2 linked regions of the Drosophila melanogaster genome follow. The protein of the gene in region 2 purifies or fractionates together with the protein of the main gene of each other region. This does not show direct contact. Each region holds a gene or a part of one and is shown on either strand. Other genes may lie near its edges.

Evidence for each region. The genes of interacting proteins can lie anywhere in the genome.
Region 1: the proteins of spoon (region 2) and larp purify together in Drosophila melanogaster (affinity purification with western blotting; one study listed by BioGRID). This does not show direct contact.

The regions. Positions count from the first base shown.
Region 1 is NT_033777.3:28,333,441-28,338,204, forward strand, and holds the start of larp (La related protein), read right to left. Parts: upstream 3,001-4,764; 5' UTR 2,568-3,000; intron 2,102-2,567; exon of another isoform or gene 1,814-2,101; intron 1,268-1,813; 5' UTR 1,079-1,267; coding exon 269-1,078; intron 1-268. Other genes in the region: Gfat2 (Glutamine:fructose-6-phosphate aminotransferase 2), read right to left, coding at 3,853-4,227, 4,430-4,764. UniProt on the Drosophila melanogaster protein: RNA-binding protein that regulates the translation of specific target mRNA species downstream of the mTORC1 complex, in function of growth signals and nutrient availability.
Region 2 is NC_004354.4:5,417,298-5,421,925, reverse strand, and holds the start of spoon (spoonbill), read left to right. Parts: upstream 1-1,589; 5' UTR 1,590-1,687; coding exon 1,688-1,732; intron 1,733-2,829; exon of another isoform or gene 2,830-3,609; intron 3,610-4,551; coding exon 4,552-4,628.

The DNA.
Region 1 (4,764 bases), on a different chromosome or scaffold from region 2:
TATATTTTAGCAAAGCTTTTCATTTGCATTTTCCAATGTTTTGTTCGAGTAACTAATTTTTGTCAATGCAAATGTACCTAATTCTATTCCGGTGCACTTCTAAATCTTCTGGATTTTTGAATATATTAAGATTTCCAATTAGGAATATCCAAAGAATACCAATCAATGCCTGAACAACTCTAATGAAAACCTATCCTAATGAACCTACCATTCAAGATACCCCAAAATACAATCAATCACTTAAAGATTCAATCATTTGATCACTCACCTTCCATGCGTTGACCTTGGGCGGTGGGGCGGCAATGAATCGCTTGGGCGGCGGAGCTGCTCCAGCGGCGCCTTTCTCGCCCGCCTGCTGATCCCCGTCGGCGGACTTGGCCTCGTTGCCGCTGCTGCCGGCTCCCTCGATGCTGGCACTGGGCGAGGTATCCTTGCGATCCTTGTGTACTTTCGGTCCACCAGGAACGGCGGAGGACACAGCTCCAGCATTGGATCCGGCTGCGCCAGCAGCTCCAGCTGCCGATTTGCGGGGACTACCGCCGCGCGGCGCACGTGGGCGCACTGACTTGCGTTCGGTGTCGGAGGATCCGGGGACGCGGCGGCCACCAGCCTGCTGGGGTTTCTGACCATCGCCACGTCCTCCGGCCGGCTGCTGATCGCGCGGCTTCTCTTTGCGCGCCTTTTTGCGATCGCGGCGGTGATGCGATAGTACCGGCACGAAGTCGTTGTTGTCGTCCAATTCCGATGAGTTCTCGGCGGTGTTATCTCCACCGGAGGCAGCGGCACGCTTCTCACCCGTCTGGGCTAGGCTAACGCTGCCGACGATTGGCGATTCGCCGGCTGCCTCGGCGGCAGCGGCTTCCTCGCTCCACGACTTGAAGCTCTTCAGATTGGGCTGGTTCTCTTTGTTGTCCACGGTGGCTCTGGCGGTGGTGGTGGTGGTGTTGCTGGTGCCGGACTTCTTGGTCTCCAGGTTCTGCACCACATTGGCGTAGGAAGTGGTGGCGCTGCCCGAGGCGGCGACAGTGGCCACAGGAGCGGCACCTCCCGTGGATGGCGTCTCCTCCTTGCTGGACATGCTCCTCAGTTGCGGCTGCTACTCCTGCTGTTTCTTTGACTCCGGTTTCCTCTCCAGAGTGGGCAGCACACTCGCTGCTCCTGCTCCGGCTACGTCAGCGGCTGATCCTCGTTGTCGGGTTGGGGAAACTCTTGTCTGCTTCCTTGCCTGCTCAACGGGATGTGGTGGCTCCAGAGATAGGCTTCCAAACTGAAATGGTTGGCAATAGAAGGATTAGTTTTCACAGGCCTGTTTGGTAGGAACAAGAGGAAAATCCAGGCCAAAGACTACAATTACGTCATTTTATAACTTTTCCACGCAGTGTTACTATAGCTAAGCTTGACTGTTTTGGGTCATTTACATATAGAACTATTCAGGGCAATTCTGCGGTCAATACTAATGCAATTTGTATAGTAATTTGCATTAACTTAAACTTTTAAGTGAGCTAATAAATTCAAGTCAACATCTCGAGTTTTAATGGCCTTATTGGCCGTAGAAAAATAGACTTTTGAAATTAAACTGATACCAATGCAAAGAAAGAGTGGAATGGAAACTAAAACCTCTTTACTAAAACTAAAGAATGGCCATCTAAGCCCAGCTTTACTGTGCCTACTAGGATTTTCCAACAAGATTGCGAGTTGGGCGAACGCGAGGTGTTTGTTGCTCAATTACGGCGATTAATCTCAAGTTCGCCCTTCTGCAATAATATTTACATCTTTACTTAATGCAACTATTACAGCACACACACATACGCACATACACTGCACTTTGAACTTGGGGCTTTCGCAATGGGGATTACTATTCTTGTGGGACTGCAGAAGAGCCTCCCGAGGAGTGCGGTGATTTTTTAGGAACTGGCCATCGGAAAAGCCTCTCCCAGCGGCCGTTTTCTCGATTTTCCTCAGCTGTCACGCTCCTCGGCGAATTGAATTTACTGCCACGGATTTTGCACGATTATATACTGCAGTTTGGGCGAGCGGAGAAAATCCGTTGCGAGGCACGACCAATCGTGAATCGAGAGGTATTATATTATTATGCAGCAGCCACACACAGCAGTGTTCCAAAGAAGAAGAAGAAGTGAGGTTAGATTTTTGCCCCACACAAGAGGAAGAGGAAGCAGCAACACAACGCTAAGCGACCAGGGCTGCCGCAAAGCGAGCTGCCCACTTGCCAAACTGGAGTACAACGTAATGGCATGGCGTTGAACGTAACCGGTAATACGACAGGAAATCGAAGCGAATTAAAGGTGCAAATAAAAGAAACTGCGTTTATAGCTACAATTTGGTTTTATTATACCCTGTGGCCTACCACAATATCCCTGTTTTCGCTTCACCCAATATTATGCAATATCCAATGCACTCGGCTAACGGCCTGCATTGCTGTTAGTGCCGCCCTGGTCGGGCCTTTTAAAACAGCTGATTTCGACTGCAGCTCGCCTCGAATTTCAAAACGATGCACGCGGTCACACACACATACACAAGTTAAGGTTCAGATTGATTTGAATACGCACCAGAGGAGATTGAAATGGAAACAAGAATTGTATTTTATTCCGCTATCTCTCCCACTTCTTGTTTCGTACGTTTCGTATGTTCACTACGCACTTTCCGCTCCGCGTGTTAACACGTACACAAGTGTGTGTGTGCGTGCGTGTGTTGTTATTGTTGCTTTGCTTTTGCTTTTGCGGGTTTCCTTGCACACACACTTTCGCACCACTACGCACCTCGAATCACTGCCTCTCGCTCGCACTCACTCACGCGCTGCTGGGCAGAACGTTACGAATATTATTTATCGGGTTTTTTCGCAATTGCACACACACTCGCTGCGTTATTGGTTGCACCGTACTTGCGCCGTTCACTTGTCTTGTCAATTAACCGCAATTAGTCAATTAATTGGAGCATTATACCGCCGAAACGAAAATCAAAATCGGTTACCAGACATGTGGTTCTACGGGTCCAAAAGAAAAAGAGCAGGGTTGTTGTTCAATTCGTTTGCGTTGCGTTGCGATAGATATCGACCGATGTGATAGCTACGGTTAATAGAGATGTCCCAACCGGCTCGCAACTGATTTAATTTATTTAATGTTGTTTTTAAATATGATTTTGAAATATCTTCCAGAAAGAATTACTTTTCGAGAACAAACTTATTTTTTCCCCATTTACCACTTGATTTGAAATTGAAAATAGGACATTCAAATTTATGCGGCTTATCGATTTCACACTACTTAAGTGCTCGGAATATCATTTATTTTTATCAGAATTTATTTTTATTTAGTTTTATCAGAATTAAATATATATGTAATTTTTCTTTTTCTAAAATTTACAACGTGATTAACATAACGTAAGCAATAACGTGACGTGGCCCTCGTTTTTTAAACATTTGAAACAAATGTTTAATGTCAGATAAGCATTTTTTGTAAAGTGAGGTACATATAGATCTTTGTTTGGTTTTTCCCGTTTTCAAACAAATTTACTGGTTAAACATTTTCCAATCCATTTTTAATTGAAAGCAGCAAAACACTTTTAAAGAAAAACTGGAAATAATTATATTTCAATTGCACATTCACAAAAAGTAGTGGGTCCACAACACAAAGGGTCAGTACAGCTACAAATGTAGGGGTTAAACATATGTGGCTTCAGCCAGAAGGAGCACAAATGGGTTAAGGGTTCGGATTTTGATCCGACAAAATACCAGAAAATTTTAACTTAAGTGCTAGGGTTTGTTTTGTTTTTCTCAGGCAGATACTAAAATGGAATTCTTGAGACGGTGCGAGCCAGTTAGCCAGATAGTTGGGGCGCCTACTCCACGGTCACCGACTTGGCCAGGTTCCTGGGGCAGTCCACGTCGCAGCCGCGGAGCACGGCGATGTGGTAGGACAGCAGCTGGAGCGGAATCACCGTGAGCACGCCCTGCAGGCAGTCCACGGTCCTCGGGATCTGCAGCGAACGCGTGGAGAAGGACATGGTCTCGTTGTCGCCCTCCTCGCAGATTAGGATCGGTCTGCCCTTGCGGGACGTCACCTGCTGCAGTGCATTCATGCACTTGGTGTACACCGGATCCCGCAGCACGATCATCAGCACGGGCATCTCCTTGTCCACCAGGGCCAGTGGTCCGTGTTTCAGTTCTCCAGCCAGGATTCCTTCGCTGTGCATGTACGTCAGCTCCTTGACTTTCTGCAATGAGCAAGTTAATTGATTAAATTCAGCTCATGAAGCGTGGGACAAACATAATAATTAATTTAAGTGCACTTGGCAAATAAACAAGTTAAGTGAATTGTTGACATCGGTTATTTTCCATCATTACGTTCCCATGCATGCATTACGATGCATAAATGAGATTCGATTAAATTATAGCTCAAATTATCAAATGGATTACCAGTGCGCCCTCCAAACAGGTGGCGAAGTTGAAGCCCCTGCCCATAATGAGCAGCGACTTGTGCTCGTACAACTCCTTGGCAAGCTGCTGCACCTGCGAGTTCAGCTTGAGGACAGTCCTAATGTGCTCGTCCAGCTGCGATAGGCCATCGATGATCTCCAAGCGGCGCTGTTGCAGCGAGAGACGATCCTCCGACATGACCAAGGCGAACATAACCAGCGAAATGAACTGGGAGGTGTAGGCCTTCGTGGAGGCCACTCCGATCTCGGGTCCAGCGTTGATGTGGACGCCACAGTGCGACTCGCGGCAGATGCTGCTGCCCACCGTGTTGGTAA
Region 2 (4,628 bases):
GTTCGATGGCTTCCTCTTCTTCTGACCGCAATGGTATTCAAGTTTGGAACAACAACAATGTGCAAGTTCAAAGTCAGAAAATGACAAATAACCGAAAGGCACACAAAAAACAATCCTAAACATGTTTGCTTGCATGCCGAGACACGCACATACATCAATATTCATGTATAAACAAGCTTACAGTGTAGGAAATATAAAAAATTACAAAACTAGAACTGTGATTACCCACACACATGCACAACAAGATCTGCCTACTACCTTAAATTTACTCGCTGCGATATGTGTAGCACATGAGCACACAACATATATGTTTTATAGCACTTTTAGGCGCTTTTTATTCGTTTATGCGTAAATAGAAAACGTGAACGACGTGACCAAGTGTGACCGTTGCTTATTTTCGTCGCAAATCTCGCGTGTGGTCAATTTGAACCGTTGTCAGAAACTATAGGGTCTCGAAACATGTGCAAATAATTCATTTATATCATTCAACTTATGCTGCAAATAATTGCTATTATTATTATTTTAATTAATTATCCACACTGCTTATGTTCTTCGCTCAAACAGGAGGTAATTAAATCATTGAAGGGATTTCAAAAATCTATGTATGCATTCACTACTAACTAGCTTGGTCTTTTTTTTATTTTGCGCCGCTTTATAAATTTAAAAAAATATCATTTGGAATTACACACATCACTGTGTTAAATTAAAAAGAAGATTTTTAGTGATTGTTTTCTTTGAGATATTGAAGTCGCTATCTGCTCCTATATAAATATTATTTCGAAATTATCGATTTATAGTGCGCTATACTGACAAAAAATAGGCTGAAATTCGCATGAACAAGCATATTGTGGTAAGACAAAATGAAATCAGAACTTCCCAAGAACTACGTTGGAAAATTACAAATGCCCAAAAGTATTGCTCCACAAAATATCGTAACGAAATATCGCGAAATTTGCAACACTTTTGTGCACATTCGGTGGCAACGCCGCCTAAGAAAATACCTATTGCCCCAATCGATACCTATCGATGAGCGTGGGCAGCCCTGTTTGTGCATGTGCTGCCATTCGATTTGATAACCAGCACTCCGTGCACACGTTTTTCGGCTTTCTAGAAATAATTGGGCTGCGATTCAAACTGTGAAGTGATTTTTTCTATATTTTTTTTTTGTGTGCACAAAGGCTCTTGTAATTCGAGGATTTGGCCATCGCGAGTGCGGGTGATTAAGCAGGCAGCTCCGATTGCCAGAGTTTTGCGGATGCATGGCAACACTGCCGCACGCCGGCCATGTTATTGTGATTTGTAAAAGGTGGAACGTAGACACGTGTTTAATTCGTGCAGCACTTTAGCGTTGAGAAAACGACAGTAAATCGCCAGCAAATAAGCAAAAACAATACACAACTCGCGTGTGCAGTAGATAGCTTTGAAAGCACCCAAAGATAGTGAGCAAAATAAGTTACCCAAGCGGTTCACAAAGGTAAGAAATCGCAGCACGCGGAACATAACCTAGTACAAAAAAAGTGCGTGTGTGTGTTTGCCAAAACAGAGAGATGTGACGGAAAATGGTGTCATGTTCTGTTCTGTGTGGATTTGTTCCAATGTCCGTGTCTTGAGCTCTATTCGCACCTCTTTCCCGGTACCATAGCCAACGTTTTAACTACCTTTTTTTTGTCAACTTTTTGTTAAGTGTATGACTCTGCCTTGCCGCTGTTGTTGTTGTTCCGGCAAAGTGACAGTAAGTGGTTATGGAAAAAATTTGGAGTTCAATTCGGCGATTACACAATGACAGCACTCACACACACACACACCCACAATCGCACGCATACACATGCCGAGCATAAGTGCGTCTGTGTGTGTTACAGCTTTCACCGTTAATGTTCGGTTTTTTTACGCCTGAAAGAGAACAAAGGCGAAAAGGAGCTGCCACTCCCACAAAGAAAACATTGCGTCTATGCATACATACATATGTATACACATATAAAGTAGTATATCCCCCGATTATACAATCCCCGCCCATTTTTGGCCACCATATGATCGGAAACCACGTTGCCAAGATTATAACAATGTGGACTTTTTCGGCTAGCTGGCAATGTTGTTGCACCTGATTTGTTGTTGTTTTGGTGCTCTCTTCTGGCTTGCCTCTCTGTGTCGCTCATTCTCGCTTGTTCGGGGGAATTTCAAATTTTTAGGCTGTTGCTTCACCTCCCCGTTCGACGGCTTCCTCTTCTTTTGGCCGCACTGGTATTCGAGTTTGGAGCAACAACAATGTGCAAGTTCAAAGTCAGAAAATAACAAATAACCGAAAGGCACACAAAAAACATGCCTAAACATGTTTGTTTGCATGCCGAGACACGCAGACACATCAATATTCATGTATAAACAAGCTTACAGTGTAGGAAATACAAAAAAAAAATAACAAAAACTAGAAGACCATTGCGAAGTTGTTGTGCCCTTATCTTACATTTTGTCGTTTTAATTCAAGAGTTGATACGAATACGTGTAAAACTACACTTCTCCCTGCTCTTATGCATATCCATTTATTAAGAATTTTAGGCAAAATGTGGCAAGCTTTGTCAACAAGTTTTAATACTCTAAGCAAAGGGTATAAAACGTAATCTGAAAAATTCCCGTCACCCGGTTTCGACGATTAGGAAATGCCACAGCTGTCTGGCCAGTTGCCCTTCCATGGCCATTTTATAGCACCCCACTAGGCCCCTTATCCCCCACCCCCTGCATGCTCCCATCAACCGTTGATCTGTCGCTATATGTACATTTATACATATACATATGCATATACATATACATATGTACATACATACAATGTATGTTTGTGTTTCAGTTGCTTGTCGATTGAGCTTATCATCTGACCACTGTGTAACAGGAGGACCTTTGGGCCCTAACAAAGTGACGATATTGTGGATGGGGGGAAGCGGGAGTATAGTGGGTAAATCGGTTCTATAGTGAGTAACTTAAAAGTACTAAAGATCTCATGGCTTTAAACTACTGTTCGGCATGACTTGCACTTTTCGGGCCCCGGAAATTTTGACCAAATTCGAAGGAGCGTCTTACAATCCATTTGAATGGATTTTGATTAACGGTTTTCGGATTTCTTTGTTCTAATGAGCTCGCCACTCTCTTTTCTTCTCTCCGGCTTTCTGTCTCGTTTCCGCTTGGTGGGATGAGTGTGTGTGTGGGTGGAAAGGGGCGCTAAATAAAAACTTGCCACCACGCATCCTCTCTTTTTTCGCGGGTTGGTGGGGGTATGCCGATGCGGAAGAGCGGATGGAGTGAAGAGCGGAGAATCGGTGCCGAAATAAAAAAAATAATACAAATAAAAAGCCAGAGGAATTGGCAATTAGAAGGCGTGCAAAGTAGTTTCCCTTCATATATCGAGCAGTCGATATCTCGAATCTCTCGAACAATTTCGCCGGCATATCGAAACCCAACAAAAAAAGAAAGAAAATAAACAAAAGCATAGAAGAAACTCCAAAAAATAAGCCGAAGCGAATTGATGCCATAAAACGACATAAAATACAAACGAAACCGGAAGAAGCAACGAATTCAGTTTTATCCTAGTGGTAATACAAAAACACACATTTATTTTGTGAATAGGTGATGAATTTCTGGCAAAGCTGTTGTTTTCGTAACTTTTAGTTTTGTTTTGTAATGATTTCGTAACATTTGCCATTGCCATACGTAAACGTAACGGTTTCTTCTTGCGCCTCTCTTCCGTTCTTCGCCGACGCTCTTTTGCGTTCTTGCGCACGCGCTCTTTGCATGCGATCTATCGCTCCATCTCTCTCGCTCTCTCCCGTTGCGTTTTTCCCTTCCGCGTGGCATTCAAAAATCGCTTTGCACCTTTTTCGTCGTTCTCTCTCGTTGTCTCTCTCTCTCTCGGCATTTGTGTTGTTGTCTATATTTACGTATTTATTTGTTGCTATTAATACGCAAAAGTTCAGAAAGGAAAAAACCAAAATCAAACACACTGGCAAACACACACACACACACGCACACTTATGCAGACGAGCACATGCAGGCGGGTCTCGTGACTTGCAAAACCAATTCGAAACCTTTAAATAGGTTTTTTCAAATATAACAACATGCATATGTCGTTATTTAAAAAACAACGTTCATGTGGATGGTGTTGACAAATTAGCCCTTTAATCTCACACTTTTCTTCAAAATTGATTTCATATTTGAAATTCTCGCTTAAATTTAAACGCAAATTCAAAGCTCTTTACTTTGTTTTCAAAGTTATTCTACACAAAATTGCATATTGTGTACCGTTTCTTATCTTGAGCCATGACAAGCTTTTTAAAGTAATTATATACGACGCTACTTGATTTGTAAATTGTTGCCCTGATAAGAGGTGTTCACACATTATTTCCAATTGTAAATTAAACAACAAACCATAACTTTTCCAAATATTGCACAAACAAAAGCTACTTCATTTTTATTTCAGTATTAGTGTGATCAAAATAATCCTATTTGTGTGACAGTACACAAGTATATTTTCAAATCGCACAGACTAATATAACTTCTTCTCCCTTTCAGATCTTTCAATATTCAGCGAAAATGGTATCCGGTCGTCCTCTACTCTACCTCTCACTGCCCGGTGTAGCATTTATACT